Arabidopsis thaliana: one gene and its partners. The protein of the gene in region 4 interacts with the protein of the main gene of each other region in a biochemical or structural test. Each region holds a gene or a part of one and is shown on either strand. Other genes may lie near its edges. The genes, in order: AT3G55840, AKINBETA1, KIN11 and SNF4.

Region 1 (6,274 bases), on a different chromosome or scaffold from region 4:
TATAGGCGACAAAGCAAATGACATGATCCTTGACATGTACGAATCCGTTGCTGCAGCCAATGGAGACCGAGATAGAAGATTTAGGGTGATGTTTGCTATTATAAACCTATTCCTCTGAGCTATTTGCTACGTCTGCTTCTTCTGTCTGTACTTAATATCTCTGAACTCCTGGTCACAGATAGAGCATGCCCAACATTTGGCACCAGGATCAGCCAACCGGTTCGGTCAACTTCACATTGTTGCTTCAGTTCAGGTTAGTTACTTCCCAGCATTAAGCATCTGGCTTAAAACTCACTTTCTTGATCTAACTTAATGCTCGTGAACAGCCAGACCATTTGCTTGATGATGCTGATTCTGTTGCTAAGAAGCTCGGTTCTGAAAGAGCCGTAAAGGAGTCTTATCTATTCCAATCTCTCTTAAATGGCAATGCACTCTTGGCACTTGGCTCAGACTGGCCTGTATGTTTTCGAAAATCTCTACACATATACAATGTTTTTACATATAGTCAAACTTTGCTTCGTTTGTTTTCCCTCCAGGTAGCAGACATTAACCCGTTGCACAGTATCAGAACCGCGGTTAAAAGAATACCTCCCAAGTGGGATCACGCTTGGATTCCATCTGAACGCATCTCTTTTACGGATGCGCTGATTGCGTAATAACCCTCTTCTCTAAGTCTTTCTCCAACATTTTCTCAAGCATTCATCATATTCTTTGTTTGAAAATCGCAGGCAGACGATATCAGCGGCAAGAGCAGCGTTTTTGGATCATCACTTGGGGTCTTTATCTCCAGGAAAACTAGCAGATTTTGTCATATTGTCAACAAATTCTTGGGATGAGTTCTCAAAAGACGTTTCTGCATCAGTGTTAGCAACGTATGTAGGAGGAAAGCAATTGTATCCATGAATCATGATGATGCAGTCTTTATCTAATTAAGAAACAAACTTTACACACTTAGAGTATCTGATCATTTATCTGTTTGTCTAGGCGTTATCAATGTACATATGTATGACATCTGGCTTATCAATTAGATATGCATTTCATATTCAAGGAAAATGTTTGGTGTGTCGGCCAAAGGAAATAGGAAAAGGTGGTTGTTGGTATTTGTATTTATTGGGATGCAAAAAGGTAATGTTGGTGAGTGGCCCAAGCACGAGCCAATGTCATGAACGCGGAGAGAAAAGAAAACCAATGAGCTGTACTAACTACGTGGCTATCTGGTTCCAGCCATCGACTCGGTTTGGTTCCACCACGTGGCTCTCTTAATACTTAGGACAGCCCCATGTGTTGCTTTTTTAACGCGCGATATCACCTGATTGGTCAGCCCCCCGGTCCTAGTTAAAAAGTCATCATGTTCCCTCCACGTAATTTCTGATGATTTTTATTTTTCACGCGAGAGGAGAACCTACGCGTTTGATCTCAAATATCCAAATTCAGATGCAGTTTATTATACAGCTATTTTCCCACGAGAATATATTTCTAGAAATTACCAAAATATAAATCATTTGTTTACAATGTAAAAGAGCATAAAAATTATAGTTAAATATCACTTCTAGTTCTAGTCATATGCTAACATAGTGTATCAACTCGAATGTTTTGAAAATGTTTAAAGATATTGATGAGTTCTCTTATGTAAATAAATAGTTTGGGTAATCACCTCACCGGACCGTTATACTTTCTTTAGGAGATAATGTTTGGAGAGAGACACAAGTATTCAAGCAAAGAGACAGAAATGAAACTTGGAAAGAGTCATCGTAAACGTGAAAGGAAGATAAGATATGTCCTTATGAGTAGCTACAAATACATCCATCTCATTCTCCTTTAGCTGAACTCACACAATGCACATGATGATACAAAAATACACCTAATCAAGAATATTTTATTCATCTTCAGTTTTTAAAATATTTCCCGTGAACTTACAACATATGTTTATCAATTCTTTTAATTCCCGTGAAACCAAACCTTCAAAATATAAGGTTCCCGTGAATTTATCTTCTTGTAGATCCCCTGAAATTAGAACAAATATATGTTCCAGAACATGGAGTTACCATGTATAATGTTTTGTGACATATTTAGGTAACCAAAACCCACACAAAACAGGATAATGCGAAGAGTATACGTCATGAGACGAATGTGTGACACCAACTTATGTATGTGAATGTGTGTACGTGTATAGAATGGAATTGTTGAACTGTCGACTATACAACTAATCTTTGGTGATTAATATATTGTCTCGACGACAGGTGGCTGATTGATCTATATGATGATTTCCAATTTCGATATTGGATTGTTCAATCGAATACGTTCCCATTCGTTTCTATGATCACCACAACTTTTGTCGATGACTTATGTTTAGTGTTCACAAATCACAAACAACAGCTAAGCAATGATTTCCTTTATTTGCTCTCAATCCAAAGTCAAGGTCTCCAGGATTTAAGGAACATTAATACTCCTATTTTTGTTTTAATCTTTAATAATTGTTTTATCTTCTATTGTCAGTAAGTAATTGTTTACTGTAATATGTTTAGTGCCTTCAAGTATGGTTAGAGAGACAAGGAACTCAATAATTTTTATTTTGCCTTTACTTTTCTAAAAACTTAAACCAATTACACATCCTTTTTATGTTTTTCAAACTACTCCTCATATTGAAGTAATCATAGTCGAGATCTAACTTCTAAGGTGTCGACTACACTATAATGTCTACTATAAACTACGATACAAATTAAGTATATGGTTCGAGAGTCAACTAATAACAAAAACCTAGATATTATTATTAGTTGGGATAGACCCGTTTTTAGGTTTTCAAAACTAAAGATTGGATGCTTACTTTTTTTTTTTTTTTTGTCATAACATATTTTAAAATATAAAGAATTTGATAAAGTTTAGTTGGATAGAATTTTGAAAATTTCTCTATTAACTAGGTAAACAAATTTGGTATAGCTGCATATAATTTTCAAAGATCTGTTCTCTTTAAGTAGATACGATAAGAACAAATAACTTTCAAAGATTGAAGAAGATAGGGATTAAATTAAATGTTTTAAATAAACCAAATCAATAGCACTATTATTTTCATTGTAAGTAATAAATAAAATGACACCGACAAAAAAAAAGATTGATTTTTATAATTGAAACGTAACATTCGGAATGTTGAAGTTTACACAAACGGGATTAAGAGATACGGAAAAAGGAAGACCAAAGTCAAAGGCTAGGCTAGGACCCGTTCCACTCTTTCTCTCTCTGTCTTCCCCAAAGTCCTAAAACGCCATCCAAAACGGATTCCGACCAAACCTCATGTGCCCTCTTATTTTATTCCTAATTTAGTGTCCAATTAAATTCATTATCGATTCTACTCCTTATTTTAAACAAAAATCTAATTCATAAGTATATGTATTTATGCAGTGGTAACTATAAGCTTTCAATAAATTGAGAATATAAGTTTATTTGAATTTTTTTTTTTTTTTTTTTAATAATTCTTATCCAACGAATCAGTTATCCAGTGTTTATTAACAAACTTTATGTTAATGTAGGTAAAAATGATACAATATCCAAAAGTACTTATAGTTCGAATAAGGAAAAAAGAACATTTCTAATTTTCTATATCAAGAAAGATTTTTGAATAATTCCCCACCATTAGGGAAAACGTATCGTATAACTGATTGCATTCGAGTATACACAAAATAGTTTCCATTTATTCCAAAATAATAGAAAGAAAAATAAAACCGACACAAAAATGCAAAAAAGACAGGAAACAGCCGTTGTTGTACGTTGACTTTCAAAAACTATGATCTTTGTTTATCTCTAATTTTCCGCATAATGACGTCTCCCTTCTTTTTCCTATCCGTTTCCTTCACATCTCTCTCTTTATCCTTCCTATATATATCGCAAACGTTTTTCCTCTCATTCTTAAATATATTCATCAAATAAACAAAAATCTCTGTATTTTTTTTTAAAAAAGATGGCTGATTTGGATTTACAGAGGAAGATGGTATCTCCGAAGCTCCACGTCACCATTCCTGAGCCGTGTAAGCTCTCCTCCGTCTCTTCTCCAATCTCCTCCTCTTCTTCCGCCGCTTGCTCTGCTTACGAGCTTTACCTCCGTTTGCCTGAACTTAGAAACCTCTGGTCCTCTCTCTATTTCCCTCACTGGATCTCCGAGCCCGTTCTCAAACCAGCTCTTCAAGCTCTTGAGATCACTTTCCGGTTAATCCTCACCGTTGCTTCTGACACACGTCCTTACATCAACCGCCGCGAATGGATCCGACGGTTGGATTCCCTCACTACCAGCCAGATAAAAATCGTGGCGGCTATCTGCGGAGATGAAGACAACTACGAAGAGAACGTATCGGCGGCTCCGGTCAGCAATGGCTGGAGCTCGTTGAGTTTGCTTTCGGAGATCGCCACGTGTCGTACATCGGAGAGTGTTGGACAGAAGATCTTGTCTACGATCGAGAATGAGATGCGTTGGTGTAAGTATACGCTCGGTTTAGGAGAACCAAACCTCGCCGGAAAACCGTATCTTCAATACGACGCCGTTTGTCTCCCGGAGGAGCTACATAGCCTCAAGAACAATCCTTACGCAGATCACATCGAGAACCAAGAGAATCAAATGCTCTACACTAGTCATCAGATTCTTGAATCGTGGATTTACGTTTCTGTGAATCTTTTATATAGAATCGAATCGAGAATCGAAGAGGGAAAATTCGAAAAAGCTTCTTCAGACGTCTACTTGTTGGAGAGAATCTGGAAGCTTCTATCAGAGATTGAAGATTTACACATTCTTATGGATCCTGAAGATTTCTTGAAGGTGAAGAAACAGTTACAAATCAAATCGACGTTTCCAAACGACGCATTTTGTTTTAGGTCAAAGGGCTTAGTAGAGATGGCGAAGATGTCCAAAGAGCTGAGACAGAAAGTGCCAGCTGTTCTTGAGGTGGAGGTGGATCCCACCGGAGGTCCGAGGTTGCAAGAGGCGGCGATGAAGCTTTACTCGAGGAAAACAGAGTACGAGAAGATACATTTGCTTCAGGGAATGCAGGCCGTGGAGTCTGCAGCCAAGAGATTCTTCTTCGGATACCAGAAGTTGGTTGCAGCGATGATTGGGAATGCAGAGGCGAATGCAAATAGAACGGTGGCGAATCACGAGTCCTATGATTCACTGACTCAGGTGTTTATGGAGCCACCGTATTACCCGAGCCTAGACGCCGCAAAGACATTTCTGGGAGAGTTCTGGAGCCAATTGTGATGCAATGGAAGATATTGACACAACTACTTAACAAACACTATCAACAGATGTAACACTACTGAAATTTTTGGAAGCATCTAACGATCAGTGTATGAATATATGTAACTCATTTTTTTTAGCACAAAACAATATTTTCACAACAGCAGATGTTACAAATGGTACAATGAGGGTACAACATACACTAGGCTACTACTATATCTCTTTATAAGCTTCTACGAGAAAACCCCATTAGCCACCGATTATAAACTTTTGCTCTCTATCTTCCTCTTACCGTAAAAGTAAGATCAGTTCTGTTTTTAAGTCTTACTTGGCGTCAAACCCGTCCATAGCTAGAACGTGAAGAGTAGTAACCAGTGGAAGAGACAGCGGAAATGTACTGCCATGCAAAAGCAGCAATCACCAGAACCATAAATTGCGGCTATCCACGGCTTTCATGGAAGTGTATACAAGTGGCATTTTCCCAAATTCTGCCACAAACCGGTTTACGCAGTGTGTTCTTTTTTCTGTGTGCCCTCCTATGCTACTAATTCCAGTTGAACCGATTTCATATATTTTACCTACAAAAACAGGCCAAAAGAGGAGGATATGCTCTTTATCATCAAAGATTATCAGAATCACAAGGCAATACATGGTTCTCAAAGTAGCCTGCGATTTAGAATTACCTTTAACCCATATAGCAGGAGCGTTTGTAGCATTTGCGATGAGGAATGACATTGCAATATCTTCACAGTTCCTGTTATTAAATTAATCTCACACTTAGGTGGGGTACACTTTAATCACATTCAGGAATACAAAAAACAACATATAGGTAATGAAAGTGATAAGGAACCTGTTCTTTGTTGTGAATTCCCTGATTGATGCTGGCATGCTATTTGTGTAAAGGCTGAGGTATTTTTTGTGGAAGAAGGCTGCCTTTGAGAGTACCATGCTATATGTACCACTCCACCAAACAGACCACCATCCACTGTAGGTGTAGTAATTGGCTTTATCATTCTGCAGAAAATTGAAGTCAACTTTCAGAACCAATTCAAACAC
Region 2 (7,365 bases), on a different chromosome or scaffold from region 4:
AAGGAGGTGGATGATACGGTACAGCATGCACGAGATAAGGAGGAGGAGGAGGACCATTCTGGTTGCTCCTCGGACCTGGTTTTGAATGACGGCCAGATGGATTCTTGTGTCCAGGATTAGCCTTTCCACCACCCTTAGATTTCGCTTGACCAGTTACGGCCTAAACAACAAAACAAAAGAGCTTTTATGAGCAAAGCTAAGGCTACAAATTCAATGCTAAACAAAAGACTTTCCAATCACACTATAAACCTTTCAAGCCAAGTAAAAGAAAATCACGACAAATAAATAAACGTCATAATCATCATGCATCAAATTCGATCAAAGATTCAATATCACCAACTTAAACCAATCACGAACACAACTGATATCCAGTATCAGATAACTCTCAGCTCTACCAAGTACCACGCACCATTACAATCGGAAAATTAATACTCAATTAAAGCATAATCAAACAACATTGACAAATCAACGGAAAGAAGTCGGTTGTTTGACTAACCGGAGTAGGGATTGGGATAGACGTCGGAATGTTTTTAGACGGCGGAGCAGGTGCAGGCGCCGGAGGATTCTTAGGACGCGGTTGTTGGGCAGCGTCGGCGAGTGCAGGCCACGAATGAGCTCCCATTACAGGAGCGTCAATAGTCTCAACAGGAGAAGTCGTTGTTTTCCACGGAGACTTAGTCCCAATACCACCTTCACGGGTGATCAATTCTCGATCATCGGCCACTGATCCTTCAGTCTCCGCCATCATTAGAAACTTGGAAAGATAAACAGAATCAAAACAAGGAAGCGATTCAATTGGATCAAAAACAGAACGAGGATTGAAGGATCAGATGGAGAAGACGCAATGTGAGGAAGAGAGGTTGAAGAAGGAGGCAAGTGTGTGTGTGTGTTTTGGTGGCGACACTCTTTAAGGGAGGAATAAGCGAGGATGAAACAAACAGTGAAACGTATAACCCCAAAAACCCTAGTTACTTTCCTCTTTTTTTATATGTATATGTTTATTTTATATAGCAATTTCCTATTTTTCCTATTTGAAATTTGACAAAAAATAAGAATAATATTCATGATTTGTTTAATTACTAGTATTACAAATATCCTCTAATCTGGTCTTTATCCTTCGTAATTAAAAACATTCAATTTATTTCTTTTTAATTTTTGTTTTGAGAAAACATCATTTATGTAGGGTTTTAAAAAAATTTAAATTAACTTTATAAACTTATTTTCGTTAGACCTATTTATAACGCGTTTATTTATTAACCTTAGTTTATGTCCTTAAATAGATGTGTTAGAATTTGTGTAGCAATTCTAAGTTATTTTGTACTTTTAATGTGATCTAACAAACTTTTGTTACAACTAAGGATTAGTAGTTGGTAAAAGAGAACGAAGATAACTAGTTATCGCTCTTATAATCTCTTTATTGTTTTATTGTTTAATTCGTTTAAGTTATTTAATTATAATATTTAGTCTTTTAAAAATACGTGAAAAATTATCTGAATTGTTAATATACATATAATAATTTTTATATATATGATGGATATTAACGATGATTTCTGAGGTGAAAACTATTATCTTAATTTTTTTTTTGGGTGAGGCTATTATCTTAATTCTTCAATATGTGAACCTACGAAGAATAAAGTAATTGATGAAGATTTGAATGAATTTTTGTCTCTGAAAATGACATTTGAAGGTGTCTGTGGAAGATTTAGTGTCCACTAGATAAGATTTCTAAACAAAAGGTCAATATATTGATGAAAATTGAAGTGATTGAAATCAAGTTTTTCCAATGATAGTACACTCGTTTGAAGAAAATATGAGGTTGAATCAAAACCTTAGTTCAAAGTAAATGATAAAGCAAAAGCTGAAATCTTACAATTTGAAAGTGACCAATATACAATGCGAGAAAGCAAAAGAAAAAACAATGACTCAACCTATAAGGAAAGTGCATGACAATCACTCATGGCTTAGTGAATAGTGACCATCGCCTTTTACAAGTTTACATTGGCTTTGAAACCCTCCAAACTTTTCGAAACAATCTTTCGACCAATAACTAGTTTACGGGACTAACCAATACAAATCTTGGAAAATGATGATTCTTTGACCATCTCTATTCTAACCCCACCTATTGGAGTTTAAGGCCTTTTCATCGTCACGATACGCATACTATGATCACTGGCTCTAGCAAGATGTTAAGGCACACAAATCGGTGGCAAGGAGGTGACTGGCCCTTGTGTCATTATCCTTCTCAAAGGCATTGAACCAACTTTTTATTCACATTTGTTTATTATATACTAAAAGAAATAAACAAAAAAAAAGTGGATAATTATAAACTTTTGGACGCCAAGTCACTCGTTTATCCATTTGGTACGGATTTTAATGATATCTCTCTCTCAAGAGCCCCTTTTATGCAAAATCTCTTTTTCGCTACCAATGGCATTATTCGTAATTAACTTCTAACTTGAGGGGCGTTTCATTATCTCCTCCTCGTCGTCCTCCCTCCATTTTTCTTCACGTCTGGTTTTCTCTCTCTTTTCCTCTATCTCTCTCCTCTCTTTGTCTCTCTCGCTTCTGTGATTTGGGCTTTTTCAGATGGGAAATGCGAACGGCAAAGACGAAGACGCCGCCGCCGGTAGCGGTGGTGCAGATGTTACCTCGTCCTCGGCGAGATCTAATGGCGGCGATCCTTCTGCACGCAGTCGTCACCGTCGTCCTTCTTCAGACTCTATGAGCAGTTCTCCTCCCGGAAGTCCTGCTCGATCTCCATCTCCTTTCTTATTCGCTCCTCAGGTTCCCTCTCTCGAATATCTCTCTCTGTTTAATCGTTGAATTTGATTTCTGGTTTTGAATTGAATCGATTGAAACATTCGCCCAAAGAGATAATAGTAAGAGAATCTTTTTGATTTGTTTCGTTGAGTAAGAGAATGTTCGTTCACTTGACTTTTCATTTGTTTCACTAATTGTGAGACACTTTCTTCATTTAGATAGGATCCAAGTACAAAATCTCCAGCCTTTTTTTTATGAGTGAACTCTACTTGTTCACTTGATTTGTGTTATCCTGTTGGTTCTTGAGAATTTGTAATGTAGATTCTTGTTCTTAAAGCTTTTTTCTGAGTTGGGTTTAGAGATTCTGTACTAGAGAATCTCTTTTATTTTTGTGTTATCTTGGTTCAGGTATCTTGAAATAATGCATAATGTGGAAAAGTTTCTACCTTTCTTTAAGATGTTGTTTTGGTTTCCTAGCTATTTTTTCTTTATTTTCCAGCCGGTCTCTAGTCATTTACTGGTCGCTCATGATTCTTGATGTCCCTTAGTGAGTCTTTGTGTAATTTATCTTTGTTTCATTGTGAAGAGGGCAACTTTGCAGACTAAGTACGTTTGTGAATGAAATCTTTTGTATAAAGGAATTAGACTTGACTTGGTTTTGTTTGGTTCTTGAGAAGTCAAAAACTCTGGTAAATGACAAGGTAGCTAGTTACTCTTCCTTAGTTTTGGTGGAGAGAGAGAGAGAGGCTTAGATCACCTTATTGCTATGTCTTTTCCTTTTGGTGAGTTAAAATCTTGTTAATCATACTAGAGAATCTGCTTTAGAGAAGGTCTTATTTGTCTTCTGATTATGCCTCCATGCCTGGTGTGGAAAAGCGTATGGCAGTCAAATAGGATGATTATTGTCTCTCTAGGTTTTTATGCTGATTTTGACTTTCCTGCTGCTCTCTGGTCATTTACCAGTTACTGATACTGTTCTGTTGATTTGCATGTCGCATTGTGAGTCTTTTGTGTAATGTCTTTTGCTTTCATTTTTAAGAGGAGGGAGGGCAAGCTTGTTCTTTTCTTCGCCCTTTTTGAATTTAAACACGCAGAGCTTTTACTTGAACGAATTACAGATTTTGGATGTTTCGTCATTCTTCTCATTGTTCTTAATATGTGAATAATTCATAAGATAAGTGAAGGACAACCTTCTAAAATTGACCTTGTTATCAGGTTTTTGTGGGAATAGTGAAATATCTTTTGCTAATAAGGTCTTGTCTGTACTCTGTATGCGAGTAAATTTCTGAGTCTACTGTTGCTATATTCATTTTCGACTCCTTTTCTTTTCAGCCCACATTGTTATTCCACGTTACATCTTACAACATTTGCTCACCTATGCGTCACCTCTTCCATTGTTTAGGCTTAACATGTGTACCTAATGGCTGCATTTCGTGTCGGATGGTAGATATAATGTTTTGACATTCGCAAATTCTTCTTGCACATTGGTTTGTAAGATCTCACGGCTCAGTGTTTATGTGGATATTCTCAGGTTCCCGTGGCTCCATTGCAGAGAGCAAACGCCCCTCCTCCTAATAACATCCAATGGAACCAATCACAGAGAGTTTTTGATAATCCCCCAGAGCAAGGAATCCCTACCATCATTACATGGAACCAAGGAGGTAATGATGTGGCGGTGGAAGGATCATGGGACAATTGGAGATCAAGGTATAATTGACTTTGTTTCTCGTGGACCCTCTCTCGAGATTTCGTGATATATGTTAAAAACAATATGTTTACATTCACCAGGAAGAAGCTGCAGAAATCAGGGAAAGACCACTCGATTCTCTTTGTCCTTCCATCTGGCATATACCACTACAAGGTGATTGTGGACGGTGAATCCAAATACATCCCAGATTTACCCTTTGTAGCAGACGAAGTTGGCAATGTCTGTAACATTCTCGATGTTCATGTAAGTTACTTTCCCACCTCTTTTTTTCTCATGTTAAATCTATCAATCAGCTTAACAGTATCTGCAATCATTATGCATGCAGAACTTTGTGCCAGAAAACCCAGAAAGCATAGTGGAGTTTGAGGCGCCACCATCACCTGATCATAGCTACGGTCAAACCCTACCAGCCGCAGAAGATTACGCGAAAGAGCCACTGGCGGTGCCACCTCAGCTTCATCTAACACTTCTTGGCACTACTGAAGAGACAGCCATAGCCACAAAGCCTCAACATGTGGTGCTTAACCATGTGTTCATAGAGCAAGGATGGACTCCTCAATCCATAGTAGCTTTGGGTTTAACCCACAGGTTCGAGTCTAAGTACATAACTGTTGTCCTCTACAAACCGCTCACACGGTAACCCTAAAAATTCAGTGCCACATTGTTCTCTCTCTTTCTTTCTTTTTCATCTCTCAATTATGTGAAAACATGTTCTTTGTTCATAGTGACTAGTGAGTGCCCAACATTTGAGTTTATTAACCTCTTTCTTACCTGGTTTGTGGTGCTTGTGTACAAAGCTTCTCTCATTGTAACGATTGTTGTTTTATTTTCTGCAAAAACTGTAAAATACATTCGCTAATAATGGCTATAACAAGCTTATCTGCTAGCAACCAAACACATAAATCCTGTTTTTTTTCTTCTTCTGACAAAACGTTTGCGAAAGTGACAAATTTTTGAAAATAATCTTTCTTTTTGGTATTGGAAAAGGCTAACCAGTTTGAAAGTGTACTCATAATAAATCCACGTCGTCTATTTGATTGAAAATTTTAATTTGGATAAGAAAAAGATAAAAGAGAAATAAGGTGAGAAAAAGTGAGCCACACGATGGAGTATGGCGGAAGAAGCATCGACCGAGTAATTGAGACGCTCTGTTTCCAATTACTACTCTCTCGAGCTCCTCCGCTCTGCATTGTCGCCGAGAGTTCCTTTCTTGTCCGACAAACTACTTCTTCTCCTTCGATAAGCCAATTCTGCGCCATAGATTTTTGAAATCTACTGCCGGAAAGGCTGCATGCGATTTCAACTCCCTTTTCCCGGGACAATTCGCAGGTGTGTATTCCTGAAGCTCCGTTGTACTATACTACTATTCCATGTTTCACTTCGAACGAAGAATCAATCATTCGGTAAATTGGATAATTTGGTCACTTGTTCATGACCTGTACATAATCAAATGTGTAGGAGGACGATGATGAATTTGTAGCATGAACTATCGACGTCATGATTCTAGAAATTTATGTTGGAATTAAAGGGCCCAATGAGAAACATACCCAACAATTTATGCTGTTGCTGAAAAGCTTTGCCATCGCATTGTGGATTTCAGCTGTTTTTGCCTTGTCTTTATCACATTTGACGCCATAGTACTATTTGTGTGTATTCTCGTATTTTACAGTTTCTTTGTCCCTTTTGCATTAGTTTCTGTGAATTGAGAAAAGAAACACTCTGTTGCCTGCACTGTTGGGTTCTTTGGAGATAGAATTCTAACATTGACATTACATTTTCATGAAACAGCTTGTGAAGAAGATCAAGAGGTGAACTCTGAGTGATGAGTGAGCCAAAGGTCAGGCGTTGGGTTGGCAAATATGAGGTTGGAAGATTGATCGGTGAATGTAATTTTGGGAAACTGCGGAGTGCTGTTGACACAGAGACAGGAGACCCTGTGGCTTTGATGATCCTTGATAAAGACAAGGTTCTGAAGCATAAGATGGCTGAACAAGTAATTCGCTTTCCTAATCGGCATTTAGTTTTTTCATGCCTCCTTTCTTGTCCATTGATATGCCCATGTTACATTTCTTGAAGTAAAACGTGGTTTCTAAAAGCGAGATTCACAGATAGATCCGTCTTCTGTCCAGAAGTATGATGTGGGTCTTTCCCGTTTGCTTTTACAGATAAAGAGAGAAATTTCTATTATGAAGCTGATCAACCATCCAAATGTAGTGCAGCTTTATGAGGTCTAATTCCATGCCCCAATTTTTTTTCTACGTGTCTCTATTTTCCTTTGATTAACTAGAAATTAACAGCTCCCTGGAGTCTAAGCAAATATGTTGAAAACTAACATTTAATGAAATGATTGATATCATTCCAGGTTTTGGCGAGCAAGGCGAAGATATATATTGTCCTAGAGTTCATCAGTGGTGGAAAGCTTTTTGACAAGATTGTGAGTTTTCCCTTTACCTCCCAAGGGCTTTAACTTGTATCTAATGCATCCTTTGGTATTTGAATCATGAACCAAATGCCCCATGCTCAGCTAAGAAGTTCCTGTATCTTACAGATTAGATAATATATTATTTTGACTTTTATCCAATCCATTAAATTTAAACTTGTGAAGAAAAATGATGGGCGCATGAATGAAGACGAAGCACAGAGATATTTCCAGCAGCTTATCAATGCAGTTGATTACTGCCACAGCAGGGGAGTGTACCACAGAGACTTAAAGGTACAAGGAACATTTTTGGTAACTCTTAGGCCAAGTTTGCAGTGTAGGTTCTTTTAAGTGCAGCTAGTTAGTGCCTAAATTTTTTTCTTCTTTATTTTCTCAATGCAGCCAGAAAATTTGCTTCTTGATGCGCAAGAGAATTTGAAAGTCGCTGAATTTGGATTGATTGCCTTGTCCCAACAAG
Region 3 (8,162 bases), on a different chromosome or scaffold from region 4:
CAAGATAAAGTATATAGAAATATGCAATTAAGACATACAAACCTACATATATTAGAGCGAGACCGACCCGGTCCATAAAACTTCTAATCCTATATTTTAAAGCCCAATTTGACCATAATAGGGCTACATGACTTTTCCGGGCTTTTTATTTCGAATAAACAAACTTATAATTTATAATATCTCTGAAAAAGAAAGAACATATGTATGACATGAGTCAATCAAAATTTAAATAACCACTAAAACTAAGTTAATTTAAAATAAAAGTTTTGTTGAACCAAAAAAAAAGGAAAGAAAAAGTTTAAAAACAAAGAAATAATCCAATAAATTGTTTAAACTTATACTAAATAAAAATATAAAATCAGAATACTTCAAAGATGTAAGGCACAATTAGAAAACTAGATTTAGGTTTTTCAATTCAAATTTTTTTGTAAAACAATTTTCATATTAACAAAAATATTTAACAAAACAAATATCAAAATATTTATGTAGGACTTTTTGTCCGATCCGATCCTAGCCGGACTAAGCTCCAAAAACATTTAGTCTAAAAGAGCAAATTTTTCAAGACATATATATATTTAACCCGAATTCGCTGTTTTTAGAGTAAGGCCAGGCCAGCATACGAGCATTATCTCTAGTTGACATGCCTAACTATTAGGCTCAACTTTCCACATACATTTATAAAACACTAGTGTTCTAAAATACGGCTTATACGGTGTATCTATACTGTACAGTTGGAAGCAGTACTGTATTATGGTTATACAGTTGTTAAATACAATGAAAGCTATATACGAGTATATACAATGAATTCTGTGTAAAAGGTGTATTAAAAAAAATGCTCAAAAACAAAAACTATGGTATTTTATTGGCAGGAAATTTATTTGGAATATTTTAGGCAAAAAACAATTTCCAAATAAGGGTAAAATAGTCATTAAAAATTTACTGAAAGTAGAAATGAAAATGTCAAATATGAAAGGGTATAACTGAAAAAGGTAGTGTGAAAAGGGCATTCTCAGCAATTATTCTACATTTGAACTATCTATTTTATCTTAATAAACTGTTTTAATTCTATAGACTACATCCATCTTATTGATGATATTTAAATTTTAAATAATAATTCATATACTTTTCAGTATTTAATTTAGTATTTCCTTAAACCAAATTTCAATCTTACATATTCAATTTTGCAATACAATTTAAATATCTATTTTATTATATAAAAATACAATTTAATTCGATTCCATACAATTCATATACAATTTGATTTTGCAATACAAATACAATTTTATTCTATACACTCCATCTTATTGTGTTAGTTTTCCTTCTTAGTTAAGAAAATTTTAAGTTAAATTTTTCGATATAGAAATATAAATTGGTATATGTATTTGTTTTTGTTAAATTTCCTATTTCTTTTAGAAAAAATATTTAAAAAATCTCGATTTTGCAATACAATTTAAATATCTATTTTATTATATAAAAATACAATTTAATTCGATTCCATACAATTCATATACAATTTGATTTTGCAATACAAATATAATTTTATTCTATACACTCCATCTTATTGTGTTAGTTTTCCTTCTTAGTTAAGAAAATTTTAAGTTAAATTTTTTAGATATAGAAATATAAATTGGTGTATGTATTTTTATTGGTTAAATTTCCTATTTCTTTTAGAAAAAATATTTAAAAAATCTCGATTATGCAATACAATTTAAATATCTATTTTATTATAATACAAATACAATTAAATTTGATTGTATACATTTCAAATACAATTCGATTTTGCAATACAAATACAATTTAATTCTATACACTCCATCTTATTGTTAGTTTCCCTTCTTAGTTAAGTAAACTATAACTTATTTTTTTTAGATATAGACATATAAATTAGTATATGTAAATATTTGTTTTTGTTAAATTGCCTATTTCTTTTAGGAAAAAAGTAAAAAAAAATCCGACACAATATCAACATATGAACGATTGACTTGTTACGTGTCACGATCAGTTGAGTTATTAACTTTAAAAACTCTACTTTATATAATAAAATGCGTCTGAAACTTCTTAATTTATCCGCTTTATCATTAGCACGCTTTTATATATAGAAAACTAGATTTTAACCCGCGGTATACCGCGGAGACAATTTATTTTTTAAAGTTACTATATATAAAAATTTGCAAATTATATTTATCTATAAAATATTTTTATTTTATAGTTTACGATTGTTATTAAGTAACGTCCTGTCAAACCCGTCCCGCCAATCCGTCCCGTAAAAAAAATTCACTGATTTTATTTATGATATGTTTATGAATCATTGTCTAAATATTTTTTAATTTTGTAGTAATTAAATGCTATCTAATATCTCTGCGGTTTGATGATTATAATCGAATTATTATAGTCATGTAGAAAAACAATATCAAAAATGATAATTTTGTAGTAATTAAATGATATTAAATATTTCGGAAGTTTTATTTTAGTAACTAATCGTGTAGTTAATGTGGAAAGATTTTGGGAAGATTGTCAAATATTTAATTTAAAGATTTTCTTTCTAATTATCAAAAACAATTATTAAATGCGAGTGGCAGCCACTGTAAATAAACTCCAACTCTAGGATTTATTTCACAAAGTGGCTGCAAAAATGTATATATAGATCATAAAAACAGTAATATAAAAATTTTAAACCTTAAAAAACTAGTTTTTCAAACAAAAACAGAAAATGGGCAAAAAGGCCCTAATTTAAGGGCTTGCAAATGGCAATAAATGTTTATCTGGGTTTTGTGGTTTCTTGATTCGTCATTACCAATTTTCACCATGAAGACTTAAAAAAACCTGACTCAGCTCTGCGTCACCTACGAGTTGGAAATCTGACTTCCCCAAGAATTTCTTCAGATTACATCGTAATTTACAATTCTGCCCTATTTATACCCATCAATCTGATTCTCCTTGTTTCTGTATATTTCTTCGCTCTTTGTTTGAACAATTTATCTGGGTTTTTGATTCTCGGATCTACTCCAAGACGGTTTTCGAAATTAACAAGCTTTTCAGGTAAATTGACTTTTTTTTCTTTGTAAAGGTTTATCAATTTTGTCTTCTAAACTCAAACTTGTGAGTCTCTTGTTTGGTTTCAGACCAAAACCACCATTACAAAGTAGTTATGTCGGTGGTTCTTGTCAGTTTTCTTACAAGCTTATGGTTGGTTTAGATTAGATTTGATGAAATGAAAATTGAGTTGAAGAATGTTTTTTTTTATTTGAGCAAGTTAATATGTTTACTGATGTTTTTCTATAGAGAAGTTGCTAAGAGAGCTTACTTATGAGTTTGATGTTGAATTGGGACACAGGAAATGGATCATTCATCAAATAGATTTGGCAATAATGGAGTGGAATCGATTTTACCGAATTACAAGCTTGGTAAAACTCTTGGAATTGGGTCTTTTGGGAAGGTGAAAATAGCAGAGCATGTTGTCACAGGGCATAAGGTTGCTATCAAAATCCTTAATCGTCGTAAGATCAAGAACATGGAGATGGAAGAGAAAGGTATATACAAGCACCGTTACTTTTAGCTTTAGTGGTTTCTAGAACAAAAGCTTTGATAATCAAATGTTTCTGCTTATTAGGTTTTAGTATGTATTTTTATCTTAATGTATGTATATTTCTTCTTTACAGTGAGGAGGGAGATTAAGATTCTACGGTTGTTTATGCATCCTCATATTATTCGGCAGTATGAGGTAATAGAGACCACGAGTGACATTTATGTTGTGATGGAGTATGTCAAGTCTGGAGAGCTCTTTGATTATATTGTTGAGAAAGGCAGATTACAAGAAGATGAGGCTCGTAACTTTTTCCAGCAGGTTTGTTTTCTCTTTACCATAACCAGTGTGTTTGTAGCGTATCATGTCATCTTTGAGTTTGAGTGTTGTTTGTGTTTGACTCATATCCGAATAGATAATATCTGGTGTAGAGTACTGCCATCGTAATATGGTTGTCCATAGAGACCTGAAGCCTGAGAATTTACTATTGGATTCGAGGTGTAATATTAAGATTGCAGACTTTGGGTTGAGTAATGTTATGCGGGATGGTCATTTTCTAAAGACGAGTTGTGGAAGCCCCAACTACGCTGCTCCCGAGGTATATAGTTTAGTAAAGTTACTGAATTGTTTTTCACCTATGTGACTATGTCTCGTTTCTCTTATGAGTGTCTTATCTCTTACTTCTTGTTGTAGGTTATATCAGGTAAATTATATGCTGGACCTGAAGTAGATGTATGGAGTTGCGGAGTTATATTGTACGCTCTATTATGCGGTACTCTTCCTTTTGATGATGAAAACATTCCCAACCTTTTCAAGAAAATTAAGGTACTGTACGTTATACTTTGATTCAGCTAAAAGACTCTTCTTAAATGGATTCATATGTATGTGAAGTAACTTATCAAGGTGTTTTTTTTCTCTTTAGGGTGGGATTTACACTCTTCCAAGTCATTTATCATCTGAGGCTAGAGACCTGATCCCAAGGATGCTTATAGTTGACCCGGTGAAACGAATCACCATTCCTGAGATCCGTCAACACCGTTGGTTCCAGACTCATCTCCCTCGTTATCTTGCTGTCTCTCCACCGGATACAGTAGAGCAGGCTAAAAAGGTTGGTTTCAGTGCCATTTGGAGATTAATAGAGTTCACTTGCTGTGATAGTAACAATATCTCTTATGTTTTGCAGATCAATGAGGAGATAGTTCAAGAAGTGGTTAACATGGGATTTGATAGAAACCAGGTTTTGGAATCTCTACGCAACAGAACACAAAACGATGTATGTAGTTTCCTGTCTCTAATGCTTTTAATCCCCGAAACTAGTTTCCAATAGTCACTGAAATGCCATTTGCTCCTTGTACCAGGCTACTGTTACATACTACCTGTTATTGGATAACCGGTTCCGTGTTCCAAGTGGCTATCTAGAATCCGAGTTTCAGGAGACAACAGTATGTGTTTTTCTTTCCTCTCAGTAGATAGCTTTCCAACATTTTTGACTAACATGTTCACCTTTTCAACGTTACTCATCTAGGACAGTGGTTCCAATCCTATGCGCACACCTGAAGCGGGCGCTTCACCTGTAGGCCACTGGATTCCTGCACATGTGGATCACTACGGGTTGGGAGCAAGATCACAAGTCCCTGTTGATCGAAAATGGGCTCTTGGACTTCAGGTTTGTTCCTGATTACTGATTCTTTTTGTTCCTCACCATAAAGTCTTCTGAATGCAACACACAATCAGATATCTGTACTCTTTGCCTCTACATAGCCAAATCGATAATCATTCTGTTACCTTGTTGTTTTGAACAGTCTCATGCGCATCCTCGTGAAATCATGAATGAAGTTTTGAAAGCTCTTCAAGAACTCAATGTGTGTTGGAAGAAGATTGGTCACTACAACATGAAATGTCGATGGGTTCCTGGTTTAGCTGATGGTCAGAATACTATGGTCAACAATCAGCTGCACTTCAGAGATGAATCCAGCATCATTGAGGATGACTGTGCCATGACTTCACCCACTGTCATCAAATTTGAACTTCAGGTAACTATAAACTCACACATACATTTGTATCAACAACATTCCTTGGAGAAAATAAACAACTGCCTAGTTCGGTTTGTTAGGGATATGAATCGATCAACGGGGTTTACATTCGTAGAATTGTGCTGGAGCAAAGACTAAGATCCTGATGTTGTTTTATCCCACTAGTAGTAGTTCAACAAAACTAAACCAGCTAGGACATAGACTAAAACCTTCTTTAGAACTTGAACCAACTGTTTTCGAAGAACAATTATACACTTTCTGAGTTCACTTTTGATTTTGAAACAGCTATACAAAGCCCGGGAAGAGAAGTACTTGCTGGATATACAGAGAGTTAACGGTCCGCAGTTTCTCTTCTTGGATCTATGCGCCGCCTTTCTTACAGAGCTTCGTGTGATCTGAATGTTTTAACCATTTGTTGAGACATTTTTTTTCTTTCATGTTCAATGGTTTGTAATAGTAGAGAACATAATATAATATGTGGGTGCAGTGTTTACTTTGCCGGGTTACTTTTATATACCTGGATTCTAAGTTAAACTCTACTGTAATAGTAACTATCCTTTCTTCTTTTTGATGGTTTTTAAGGTTTGATCATGTGTACATAACTTAGCTGTTTCATTCTAACTATTGTATTTCTCCTCTGATGCCAATTTTATACAACGTTTATATCAGACACATTATACATGTCATACCTAAAAACATTGCACGCAGAGTCCATCAAAATTCCATTTCACAAAATTCGGCTACCCAACTTAAGTCCTTAGCATCAATACAAGATGTGGAACACGATATTAATACAGAACATTGGAGAGCTACTTTGTGTGGACAATGCTTCTTGCAAAAGGAGTAAATAGGTCGCCGTCGGACAATAATATATCGGGCTTCAAGGATAAGTCCACCCCAAACATACATTGAATGTGTAGGGTAACACTACAGTACTCATCACACATAAAACCGCTCCTTCGGATTTATTTTGCTGATTTTTCATCATCAGTCGGTTCGGACCGCAAACTTCACACCAATACATCGTTGTACTTATCTCATCCCCATAAGAAAGAGTGAACATATGTTTATCATGCTTATACATTACCTTATGAGGTAATGTAGCACATTTGAAACACAAAGAAAAGTAGTCACACTCAATGCAATTGAATGTTTCCTTTCTGGAATAATGTCCTAGCTCTTTGCAAACTGAAAAATGTCTTCGCTTCTCTCCCGGTTTGGTTGTTAGGAATAAAGGATGCAAATGACTTGGATGGACTAGTGGCTCAGAAATCTTGGCGCATTGCATGTGTAGCAGAAAACAACATCATTCTTTACTACATTCATAGAAGAAACCAGCTTTACACAACCAAGGACAAGCAAAACATGTATCCTTATGATAGTCCATAACACCGTCATAAATTTCTGCCACCTTCGCAGAAAAAGTGTGTATAGCCTTCTTCTCCTGGTTGCCTAAATTTCTGCCAATTTAAGGAAAAACACTTCCACTTGTTATTCGTGGGCCGCAAGACTTCTCCAATCACATGGATTATTCCTTCTTTAAAAGTTACTTGTGCTTGAGGGCAAACTGAAATAAGTTTCTTCAACTTTGAATTTTTGAGATGACGAGGGAGAATATATTGGGCCTATGGGCTTAGTCGGTTTTGATATTTAGAATAGGTTAACTTTATGCTCAAGTTGTAACCTATATATAAACCAAGCAATGTAACCTAAAACCCTAAGAGATTCAGTTTATACAAACAAGAGTTTCTTGACATGGTATCAGAGCAAAACCTAAACTACTCAAGGGTTTGTTCGATTCTATGATCTAAACTTCCGCTAAAACAACTCTGTTTCTTATTTTCTGTTTTTTAAAACTATCTCACAAAGGAGAAAATCATGGCCACGAATTCTGCTACGTCGTCGGCTCTGATAACCTCCACCACCAATCGCCGTACAATATCTCCATACGATTTAACTTCCGGTGAGAACCCCGGAACCGTGATCTCCAAGCCTTTGTTGCGTGGTCCAAACTACGACGAATGGGCCAACAACATATGCTTGGCTTTGAAAGCTAGAAAGAAGTTCGGTTTTGTCGACGGTTCTATACCTCAACCACCAGACGACGATCCCGACTTTGAAGACTGGATTGCTAACAACGCGCTTCTTGTCTCTTGGATCAAACTCACGATTGAAGAAAAGCTCTCTTCGTCCCTATCTCACATCAATGACTCTCATGAACTCTGGACTCATATTCAAAAGAGATTTGGAGTGAAAAACGGCCAGAGAGTTCAAAGATTGAAAACTGAATTGGCAAATTGCAGACAAAGAGGTCTTGCTATCGAAGCATATTACGGCAAACTAACTCAGCTGTGGGGGAGTCTTGCCGATTACCAAAACGCAAAAACAATGGAGGAGGTTCGAAAAGAGCGAGAAGAGGACAAATTGCATCAGTTTTTAATGGGTCTAGATGATACCATCTACGGAGCCGTTAAATCAAATTTGCTTTCACGTGTTCCTTTACCAAGCCTAGAAGACGCTTACAACGCTTTAACTCTGGACGAGGAATCCAAAAATCTAAGTCGCACTCATGAAGAAAGATCAGATGGCGTCAGTTTTGCTGTTCA
Region 4 (9,449 bases):
AACAACCAGTACAACCCACATCTGATGTACCCATTGCGAAGGACAAAGAGAAAGATGAAGAGGACAGGTCCATGTGAAATATAATAGCTTATTATGTTGATTTTACTTACAACCATTAAGGTTGCAGCATGGACCAAGAAATATAATAGCTTTATGATGATTTTAGGCAAGTTGCTGAACTTGATTCCTATGAAAAATGAGATGCACGCATGTCAAAAGTTCTTCAAGTGAAAGAAAAGTGCTATTTGATACCATCTTAGTTTTCTCTCTTCAGTTATTAACTATTTGTAGTAGTGGACTATTCGGGAACAACTCATTTCTAATGAAATTTTAAAGCTTGGCATTATGTAAGAACACATATATATTTCAGATTAGGTTTTCGTTTGACTGACGAGAAACAAAATAAAGAATGTGCAAGAAAAATTGGTATACAAATTATTTAACTATTTTTACAAAACTGTGTAATCTTCCAAACCTAATTTCAATGATATTATACTTCTGGTGACGTGAACGTTCTCGTAAAACAAAAAACAAAAATCATCGAAATTATACTTACGGACAAAGAGTTATGGACTATCTATTTTGGAAGGAGAAAAAGAGAACCATCAGAAATTGCCTACAAGAGAACCATCAATGATAAACTCAGATTTTGACTTTTGTACCCGAAAGAGAAAGAACCATCAATGAAACTGCTTGCGCGTTAGTCTCCCAATATTTTTCCCAGCTTTGATGTTTCCTTAAATTCCTTTTTGGGCAAGGTTACAAAGAACTAGGCTATGCTATATTGTATAATCTAAGCTTTTCACTTTGATTGATTTCATATCAAAAAAAAAAAGAAAGAAAGAAGGAGCATATGTGATGTAATTGGAGAGTTGTTTAGACTAAGAGAAAAATGTATTCAGTGGAGGCTAAAGAAATTCTTCTCGAAATCTGATGCAAAACCCATAACTGAAAGAAAAGAAGAAGAAAGAACTCTTTGAATTAGTTCCCGAGCCAAAGATCATATACATAACCAGAATTACGACGAAGGAGTTACGGATGTTTAGGACGAGAGCCAAAGATGTTCTAACAATATGTAACCAAATGAAGACTTTCCAAATATTAAAAAGAGCCCTTATGAGATAAAAAAAAAAAACTTTGTTGGCCTGTTTTTCAATGCCCAAATATAGCGATCAAGATTTTGAGATGAAAGTTATGACCATTAAAGGAGTATATATATCCAATTGTCCATACTAGCCAGCGACCGTGAATGCTGCCCAATAACCAACAAGCCAAAATGACCATTGTTTACAAATGTCTTTCTCATTTGCTGTTTTCCGACAGATAGAGTAAGTGTATATATAGAATAGTACTGAAAGAGAGGGCCGGGGGACTTATATACGTTTTGAGGAAAAAGATAAACAACATTAGAGTAAGAGCGAGATATATACACTTATATAAAGTCATGTCTATAAGAAAGTTCAAATCCAACTTAAAAATATATACTCACAACAAATAAAAGTTACATCACTTCGATTATTTAGAGTTTATAAAACTAATTAGAAACCGAACTCTTTTTTTCTTCAAGGTCGTGTTTTGGTTTTAGGCTTTTAGCCCTAATTTACAGGTCTTTCTAAGGCTAAATCTACTATAAAATGTAATTGCATGCCTAGGGTTCAAACATGAAGTCTCCTCTCCCTCAAATAATGTCAACTTGGAAGACAACACGATTGTCTCCCTGTATTACATGTCTACCGAGAATAGATGTACAATGTAATTTCATGGATTATGTTTAACCCGATAATAAATTGGTGTGGGATGTAATGATTTATTTTCTTTAATTTAAGAAATTATAAGAGTTGACACAATAAAAATTAGAGAAAAAAAAAACATGGCTTTTCTTTTTACTTTATTTATTTACCCTGCTTCAAAACACAAGAGAATAAGAGAAAAGTGTATTTTGAAACGTTTTTGAATGTTAGTTTGGTTTTGTTTGATTTATAGTACTGTTTAACATCAGAAAAGACAAATGAGTTTAAAAAAATAATACCAAAAAAAGAATTTACTAGATACAATTTTAAAGTGGAAATATTTTTAATAACTTGGATCCTCGTCTAATTTATTCATAACATTTATGTGATATATTATATATATAGGAAATGATTTATTAGATAGTTGACTAAAACTATATATTAGATGCTATTATTTGCATAATTCATATAGTTATTTATTATGAAAAAAGAGAAGAATAATCAGTTATGTAAAAGTAGAATTTTTTTTTTTTTTTTAAATGTTATCGGAAAAACTGTATACAGTAATAAAAAAGAGAAAAAAAAAAAAAACCATATCTTTGTCGATGGATTAAAAACAACATTTTCATTACGCAGCGCTTCTTCGCCCTCAGATTCTTCTTCACCTTGAAAGACCATTAACATCATTCCTTGCCCAGATCCAAACAATGCCATCTCCACTCTCTCTATTTAGGGTTCTCTCCAACTTTTCAAATCCCTAATTCTTGCTCCCTCCCTTCAATCAATTCCGATCATCATCGAGGTCTCTCTACTCCCCGAATTTAAAGATCAGAGCCGCGACTTCCTCTGCCTTCTTTTCCTCGGAATTTTTCAGCTACGTTTTCCAGGTGGTGTGTATTGTCAATCAGTTGACCTTTGCTTTTGTAGCCAGATCGTTCGTGCTTTGAGTTTAGGGCTCTTTTACAAGGTTTCGTGTTGGTGGAATTTCTCTACCTAGGTTTGGGGGAAGAGTTCAGTAATTTCGTTGTAGATCGTGATTTGGGCTTTTAGGGTTTCGGTTTACTGGTTGCTGGAATTTATGGTAGCGTTATTGAATTCGGACTCTCTGCATGTGTAAGCGTTGAAGTTTGAAGTTTCACCGGGTTTTGTTTCTTCTGCTGAAGAGTCGAGATTATTTTACGCATTAAGAATCGATTCAGAAGGTTTTTAGGAATTAGTTTCTGTGGATTGTAACTATATAACTACTGGGAGGGGATGTTTGGTTCTACATTGGATAGCAGCCGTGGAAACAGCGCTGCCTCAGGGCAGCTTCTTACTCCGACACGCTTCGTGTGGCCTTATGGAGGTAGAAGAGTCTTCCTAAGCGGATCTTTCACCAGGTGAGATGACTGAGCTTGAACTAGGATAGTTTACTTTATATTTCAGTTAAGCTATTTATCGGGGTTTGTGTAGAGTATGTGCTCTGTATAGTATCTATCGGGGTTTTGCAGTCCATGGACTGATTTCTGAAATGGGCATTTGAACAGGTGGACAGAGCATGTGCCAATGTCACCGCTCGAGGGCTGCCCTACTGTTTTTCAAGTCATTTGCAACTTGACGCCAGGATATCATCAGGTTAATAATCTTGTACTCGACCTGTATCATGGCAAATTCTTTGTTAATTAATCCCTGCAGAAGCATTTATGTCCTTGTAGTGATTTAGCGATGTCCATAATTGTGCTTCATTTAGTCTCTGGATACTTAACCTATGCAATGAGAATCTTATATACCTCTGTCATATTTGTATGACTGTGGCTGAAAATTGCAAATTTCCTTGCTAATTGATCAAAATTTGACTTTATACATCACCATCCACATAACAAAAGTTGGGGTCTTCATGCTGTGTGATACCTAAATCACTTCTTTTAATAAAGGCTACAGTGTGTGTATAGAGATTCATATATTTTGGCAGTTGGATGTACTATATATAACAAGATTTTAATTATTACAATGTGAGATGCTTAAGAAGCCACTAATGTTACATTTATGTTATTTCATTCTCATGCAGTATAAGTTTTTTGTTGATGGGGAATGGCGGCACGATGAGCACCAACCATTTGTAAGCGGAAATGGTGGAGTAGTGAATACAATATTTATAACTGGGCCAGATATGGTTCCTGCTGGTTTTAGCCCAGAGACACTGGGCCGGTCGAATATGGATGTGGATGATGTCTTCCTGCGAACGGTAAGGAATCTGACCTTTCCTTTTCCAAAATGCAGTGTTTATTCTCGCTGCTTGATGGTTCAGGTTTCCCGAGTTGCTTCCAGTTTGGTTTCTTTAATTTTGATCCGTGGTTGGTATCCTTCAGATTATTTTTAACTGTTTGTCATTAGTTCAAGTATAATTGATTTTAGACCATTTTATCTTAATGTATAAAGCAGGATTCCTTAAGTTCCATTAAATTGTCTCTGAGACTACATTCAAATTGAGTTTCTGACTGCTTTCACATGGTGATTATATTGTAGGCTGACCCGTCCCAGGAAGCTGTTCCTAGGATGTCGGGGGTTGATTTGGAGCTTTCTCGTCACCGCATATCGGTTTTATTGTCAACCCGCACTGCATATGAGCTGCTCCCAGAATCGGGCAAGGTTTGGTTTCTTTTTCTTTTTGCTTGATCATTGATAATTTCTGTCTTCATGTCCTATAGATTATCAGTTAAGAATAACCTTTGGCTTCTTACTCGGAAATTGTCTAAGGTGATTGGAAATTTTACAGGTTATTGCATTGGATGTTAATTTGCCAGTGAAGCAAGCATTCCATATACTCTATGAGCAGGTTTACTTTATTTGCCAATTACCCTTGTGTCAGCTTCTGTTCTTGTTAGGATGTTCATCTCTCTGTCTCTCACCGTCATATAAACATTCTAATATTGTTGCATCCAGACCCGGAAAGGGAAGGAAGTGAAACTTAAGTGAACAACATTCGTCTAATTATACTTCGAGATTGTTTGGCTTTCTGGTTTTTGCTAATTCCAGATGCTTTCAGGGAATCCCTTTGGCTCCTCTTTGGGACTTTGGAAAAGGCCAATTTGTTGGAGTTCTTGGTCCACTAGACTTCATTCTAATACTGAGAGAGGTTGGCTTCTATTAAAACTGTTCTTTGCTAGAGCATTCCATCGAGTTACTATTGTATATTCTTAGAATTTCCAAGACGGAAGTCTGGATATCTCATAAATCACATAGTTTTAAATGTTTTACTAGCTTCTCAGTATGAAATTTCACTCTTGAGTATAATAGCAAATTTGTAAAATTGCAGCTTGGAACTCATGGATCAAACTTGACAGAGGAAGAGCTTGAGACGCACACAATAGCAGCCTGGAAAGAGGGGAAGGCTCATATTAGCCGGCAATATGATGGAAGTGGGAGACCATATCCTAGGCCACTTGTTCAGGTGAGATTTTCACAGTTGATTTGTATCGCTGTTACTACTAACTTTCTTCTGTTTGCGTAATCTCTGAACATAGCCTTATCCTAGAACTTTCTATTGCATGTTATATTGAAAAGAGCTAGTAGTATTTCTCTCTTGCTATTAATGGTTTTATATATGGCTATCAGGTTGGACCCTATGATAATCTGAAAGACGTTGCCCTGAAAATTTTGCAAAACAAGGTGGCAGCTGTTCCGGTTATATATTCTTCTTTGCAGGATGGTTCATATCCGCAGTTACTGCATCTTGCTTCGCTATCAGGCATATTAAAATGTAAGGTCCCTTCATTTGTGAATAAGACACTGATAAGCGCGCCAATTTGGCATTTCTCACTTTTTAATTCATGACGTGCATATGATTCTGCTATTTCCAAAATTTTCCCACTTCTTCATTTCTCCAAATTCTGTGAAGGGATGGGATCTTTAGGAGGGAGGGAAATTAGAAACTAAAGTTGCAATTGACTTTACCAAACTTTTTACACAGTTTTCCCTGTTAATAATTCCTTTCGAAATTTATGCCTTTATCAGACACTTAAGCTCTAAATTAAGCATAATCTTCCAGGTATATGCAGATACTTTAGACATTCGTCTAGCTCTTTACCTATCCTTCAGCAACCCATTTGTTCAATTCCCCTGGGTACGTGGGTCCCTAGAATCGGAGAATCAAGTAGCAAACCTCTCGCTACATTGAGACCTCACGCCTCTTTGGGTTCTGCGCTCGCATTATTAGTTCAAGGTAATCCTTTTTCTTATCTTGTTGCAGCAACATCTTATTCAAAGCTCATCTGCAACTCAGACTATCAACCTCTACATTACAATCAGATTTTCAGTTTTAAATATTTTGTCTAGATGGTAATATAATCAAGTAGCTGAACACATGGGTATACTCAAGTCAATGCAGACCAACAAACCAACTTTAGATGTTACGACCACTTTTATTATTTTTATACAGATGTAATTGCTGCAACATGAGTAAACTAACGAGGTTTAAAAACATAGAAACATTTTTGTCAATCTTAAAGCAGATATATTTATAGAATTTCTCGTGATCTTTTCCCTGGTTCCTCATAGATGGAAATGAATGAATGAGTCATGCTTAATTTATGTTTCCTGGTTATTACAGCTGAAGTCAGTTCAATTCCCGTAGTGGATGACAACGACTCGCTTATTGACATATACTCTCGAAGGTAAACCTCTATCCATCAATCGACATGATGTCTTATGCATTCCATCTTTGACGTCCTTGTGTTCTGATGATATTTGTAATTGGCCAGTGATATAACTGCTCTGGCTAAAGACAAGGCATACGCACAGATTCATCTTGATGACATGACAGTTCACCAGGTAAACCTCTCATCAGAAACCAAGATCCATCACATGTCTCATCAAATTACGAGTTTTACTTAAATGTAACCTGCCTATCTATCATGGAAATTGCCTCGTTTCTGATTTATTTGAACATACATCTTTACAAGAATGAAAGAAGAGATGAAACGTTATAATAAAGTGGAGGATAATGTGTTTGTGGGTTTTCAGGCGCTACAGTTGGGGCAAGATGCGAGCCCGCCTTATGGAATCTTCAACGGGCAGAGATGTCACATGTGCTTGCGCTCAGACTCTCTTGTGAAAGTGATGGAGCGGTTGGCGAATCCAGGTACACACTATCTCCTATATACAATCTTCAGCTTTGTTGCTTGACACAGGAACATCAGATGAGATGTAACTGGGGTTTGGGTTTGTGTATATAAAACACAACAGGTGTAAGGAGGCTGGTGATAGTGGAAGCAGGGAGCAAACGTGTTGAAGGTATCATTTCACTGAGCGATGTTTTCCAATTCCTGCTCGGTCTTTGACTCCCACAGCAAAACAACCTCCCCAACCTCTTTTTCTCATTTCCCCTCAATCAAAACTACCCAACAATTTGCTTCTTTTTTTTTTTTTTTTTTTTTCTTCTTGCAAGGAATTTGTAAATTTGCTACGAACCTCTTTCATCATTGTTTTCTTATTATTTTTGTTGTTTTAGTTGAACGGGTTTCCATTCTTGTGAAGATATTGGCTACCGGAATCTTTTACTAGTAGCTTCCCTCAGCTTTTTCTTCCCTCTTTTTTTTTCCATTTTTTTTTGGTTTTGAGTTTTTCACTTCATCGACTCGAAAAGCAACACAGCATGAGAAGGCCGTAGAAGTGTAGGACAATGCACTGGTTGACAAAGATGAATTGTCACCAGCGAGAATAAGCCTTATGGTTGAAGTTTGCAAGTAATGATTAATACAATTACAATCATAACGAATCATAACCTTAAGTACAATAACAAGTAAAAAAGTACAATGACAAGTAATATTCAGTAATGGTTAATCGAGTGATTTGATCATAGCATTATCGATTTCTTTCGGATTTTTCAATAGCTCTTAAAATATATCAATAAAAGTAATACAAAATTCAATCAAATCTAGTGACACTAAAAAAAAATAAAAAAATCTAATGTCATTTAAAAAATATTTGAGCAAAAAAAATAAAATCTAATGTCATTAAAAATAAGTGTTAAATAATTGATGACATAATAAGTGATAGAGAAAAATGTATTTACTCTATTTACTTATTTAGGCTTATCCAGACAATAAACGTTTTCGTTTTTCCAGTCCAACAAGTTTCTTCATCAACTCTCTCAACTGTTTTCGACATAAACATTCCAGAAGCTGAGATCAGATACTAAAATGGCGGAGATCGGGAAGACGGTGTTAGATTTCGGCTGGATAGCGGCGAGATCCACGGAGGTCGATGTCAACGGCGTTCAGCTCACTACCACCAATCCTCCGGCCATCAGTTCCGAATCTCGGTGGATGGAAGCCGCCGTACCTGGAACGTAAGTAATAGTGTTCACTTTCCTCTTCGAAAATTTGAAGCTATTAATAATCAAAGTAAGAACAATTGTTTAAGTATTTGATTTTGTTCGAATGTGTCTGTCAAGTTTGGATTTTGCCTTGATAACTAATAATTAATTTTCTTCTTCTTATGAATCAGCTTTTATTTATGTAAATACCTCTAATTGTTTCATGCATGAATGAGAGATTTTACTGATATAGGATCTTAATTGTGAACAGTGTATTGGGCACATTGGTGAAAAACAAAGCAATTCCGGATCCTTTTTATGGACTTGAAAATGAAGCGATCACAGATATTGCCGATTCCGGAAGGGACTACTACACTTTCTGGTTCTTCACTAAATTCCAATGTCAAAGGGTGGGCCACCCTCACCCTCTCTCTCTCTTGGTCGAAATTGCTATTTTTCTTGTGTCTTCTTTTCATATTTTGTTTTGACGGTTTTGCAGTTATTGAATCAATACGTGCATTTGAATTTCCGTGCCATCAACTACTCTGCACAAGTGTTTGTAAATGGCCACAAGACAGAGCTTCCCAAAGGGATGTTTCGCAGACATACACTTGACGTCACTGATATTCTCCATCCTGAGAGCAATTTACTTGCTCTTATTGTTCATCCCCCAGATCATCCTGGGACTATACCTCCCGAGGGAGGCCAAGGTGGTGATCATGAGGTACACCTCCTCCCTCCTTCTCTCTCTCTTGGAAGTTTATATCACTCTTCTTTCTTTGCGTTGTGATTGGACTATCCATGACAGATTGGAAAAGATGTAGCTGCACAGTATGTGCAAGGTTGGGACTGGATTTGTCCAATAAGGTTATTTTTTTGTTACAAGATTTAGCTTATCGTATAGTTTAAGGCATTTCTCTCTGACAACATTTTTTCTTCTAGGGACCGGAATACTGGCATATGGGATGAAGTGTCAATATCTGTCACCGGGGTTCGTTTAGTTGGTTTACATTGTTTTCCAGAGATGATATCAATCAATATTCTCCACGGAACGTTTATAGTCATCTTCTTACTGAATGTTATAAATTGCTTTTATTGCAGCCTGTAAGAATAATTGATCCCCATTTGGTCTCAACCTTCTTTGACGATTACAAGAGAGCTTACTTGCATGTGACTGCTGAACTGGAAAACAAAAGCACATGGAATACTGAATGTTCTGTGAATATTCAAATAACAGCCGAACTCGAAAACGGTGTCTGTTTAGTAGAGCATCTTCAGACAGAGAATGTTTTGATCCCTGCTCAAGGACGTATTCAGCACACATTTAAACCAGTGAGTGGTATTGTTATCGTATATTACTTGTTACGACTTAAATTACTTATGGCTCTGAATCTGTGATGGTGGTATTGTTTATCCTAGAAACT

Evidence for each region.
Region 1: the proteins of SNF4 (region 4) and AT3G55840 form a complex in vitro, tested with the Arabidopsis thaliana proteins (one study listed by BioGRID).
Region 2: the proteins of SNF4 (region 4) and AKINBETA1 form a complex in vitro, tested with the Arabidopsis thaliana proteins (one study listed by BioGRID).
Region 3: the proteins of SNF4 (region 4) and KIN11 form a complex in vitro, tested with the Arabidopsis thaliana proteins (one study listed by BioGRID).

Annotation. Positions count from the first base shown.
Region 1 is NC_003074.8:20,716,495-20,722,768, reverse strand, and holds AT3G55840 (Hs1pro-1 protein), read left to right. Parts: upstream 1-3,902; 5' UTR 3,903-3,952; coding exon 3,953-5,239; 3' UTR 5,240-5,635; downstream 5,636-6,274. Other genes in the region: LAF3 (Amidohydrolase family), read left to right, coding at 1-85, 179-253, 327-458, 537-652, 729-903; EPC1 (Nucleotide-diphospho-sugar transferases superfamily protein), read right to left, coding at 5,636-5,796, 5,902-5,972, 6,069-6,232. UniProt on the Arabidopsis thaliana protein: Positive regulator of basal resistance.
Region 2 is NC_003076.8:7,203,132-7,210,496, forward strand, and holds AKINBETA1 (5'-AMP-activated protein kinase beta-2 subunit protein), read left to right. Parts: upstream 1-2,535; 5' UTR 2,536-2,586; coding exon 2,587-2,784; intron 2,785-4,034; exon of another isoform or gene 4,035-4,092; coding exon 4,093-4,203; intron 4,204-4,291; coding exon 4,292-4,467; intron 4,468-4,548; coding exon 4,549-4,711; intron 4,712-4,793; coding exon 4,794-5,108; 3' UTR 5,109-5,365; downstream 5,366-7,365. Other genes in the region: LARP1a (LA RNA-binding protein), read right to left, coding at 1-160, 497-748; AT5G21222 (protein kinase family protein), read left to right, coding at 6,291-6,461, 6,634-6,696, 6,831-6,902, 7,074-7,181, 7,290-7,365. UniProt on the Arabidopsis thaliana protein: Regulatory subunit of the probable trimeric SNF1-related protein kinase (SnRK) complex, which may play a role in a signal transduction cascade regulating gene expression and carbohydrate metabolism in higher plants.
Region 3 is NC_003074.8:11,126,686-11,134,847, reverse strand, and holds KIN11 (SNF1 kinase homolog 11), read left to right. Parts: upstream 1-2,742; 5' UTR 2,743-2,891; exon of another isoform or gene 2,892-3,039; intron 3,040-3,334; 5' UTR 3,335-3,337; coding exon 3,338-3,530; intron 3,531-3,659; coding exon 3,660-3,844; intron 3,845-3,938; coding exon 3,939-4,121; intron 4,122-4,216; coding exon 4,217-4,348; intron 4,349-4,445; coding exon 4,446-4,631; intron 4,632-4,706; coding exon 4,707-4,796; intron 4,797-4,881; coding exon 4,882-4,965; intron 4,966-5,048; coding exon 5,049-5,189; intron 5,190-5,325; coding exon 5,326-5,556; intron 5,557-5,841; coding exon 5,842-5,955; 3' UTR 5,956-6,228; downstream 6,229-8,162. UniProt on the Arabidopsis thaliana protein: Catalytic subunit of the probable trimeric SNF1-related protein kinase (SnRK) complex, a central regulator of cellular energy homeostasis, which, in response to seemingly unrelated darkness, sugar and stress conditions, activates energy-producing pathways and inhibits energy-consuming processes.
Region 4 is NC_003070.9:2,897,748-2,907,196, reverse strand, and holds SNF4 (sucrose nonfermenting-like protein), read left to right. Parts: upstream 1-2,334; 5' UTR 2,335-2,984; coding exon 2,985-3,109; intron 3,110-3,256; coding exon 3,257-3,344; intron 3,345-3,777; coding exon 3,778-3,954; intron 3,955-4,235; coding exon 4,236-4,358; intron 4,359-4,485; coding exon 4,486-4,545; intron 4,546-4,755; coding exon 4,756-4,845; intron 4,846-5,025; coding exon 5,026-5,160; intron 5,161-5,324; coding exon 5,325-5,469; intron 5,470-5,757; coding exon 5,758-5,931; intron 5,932-6,318; coding exon 6,319-6,382; intron 6,383-6,469; coding exon 6,470-6,539; intron 6,540-6,731; coding exon 6,732-6,849; intron 6,850-6,953; coding exon 6,954-7,048; 3' UTR 7,049-7,421; downstream 7,422-9,449. Other genes in the region: AT1G09010 (glycoside hydrolase family 2 protein), read left to right, coding at 7,910-8,058, 8,297-8,435, 8,525-8,749, 8,834-8,892, 8,968-9,016, 9,127-9,357.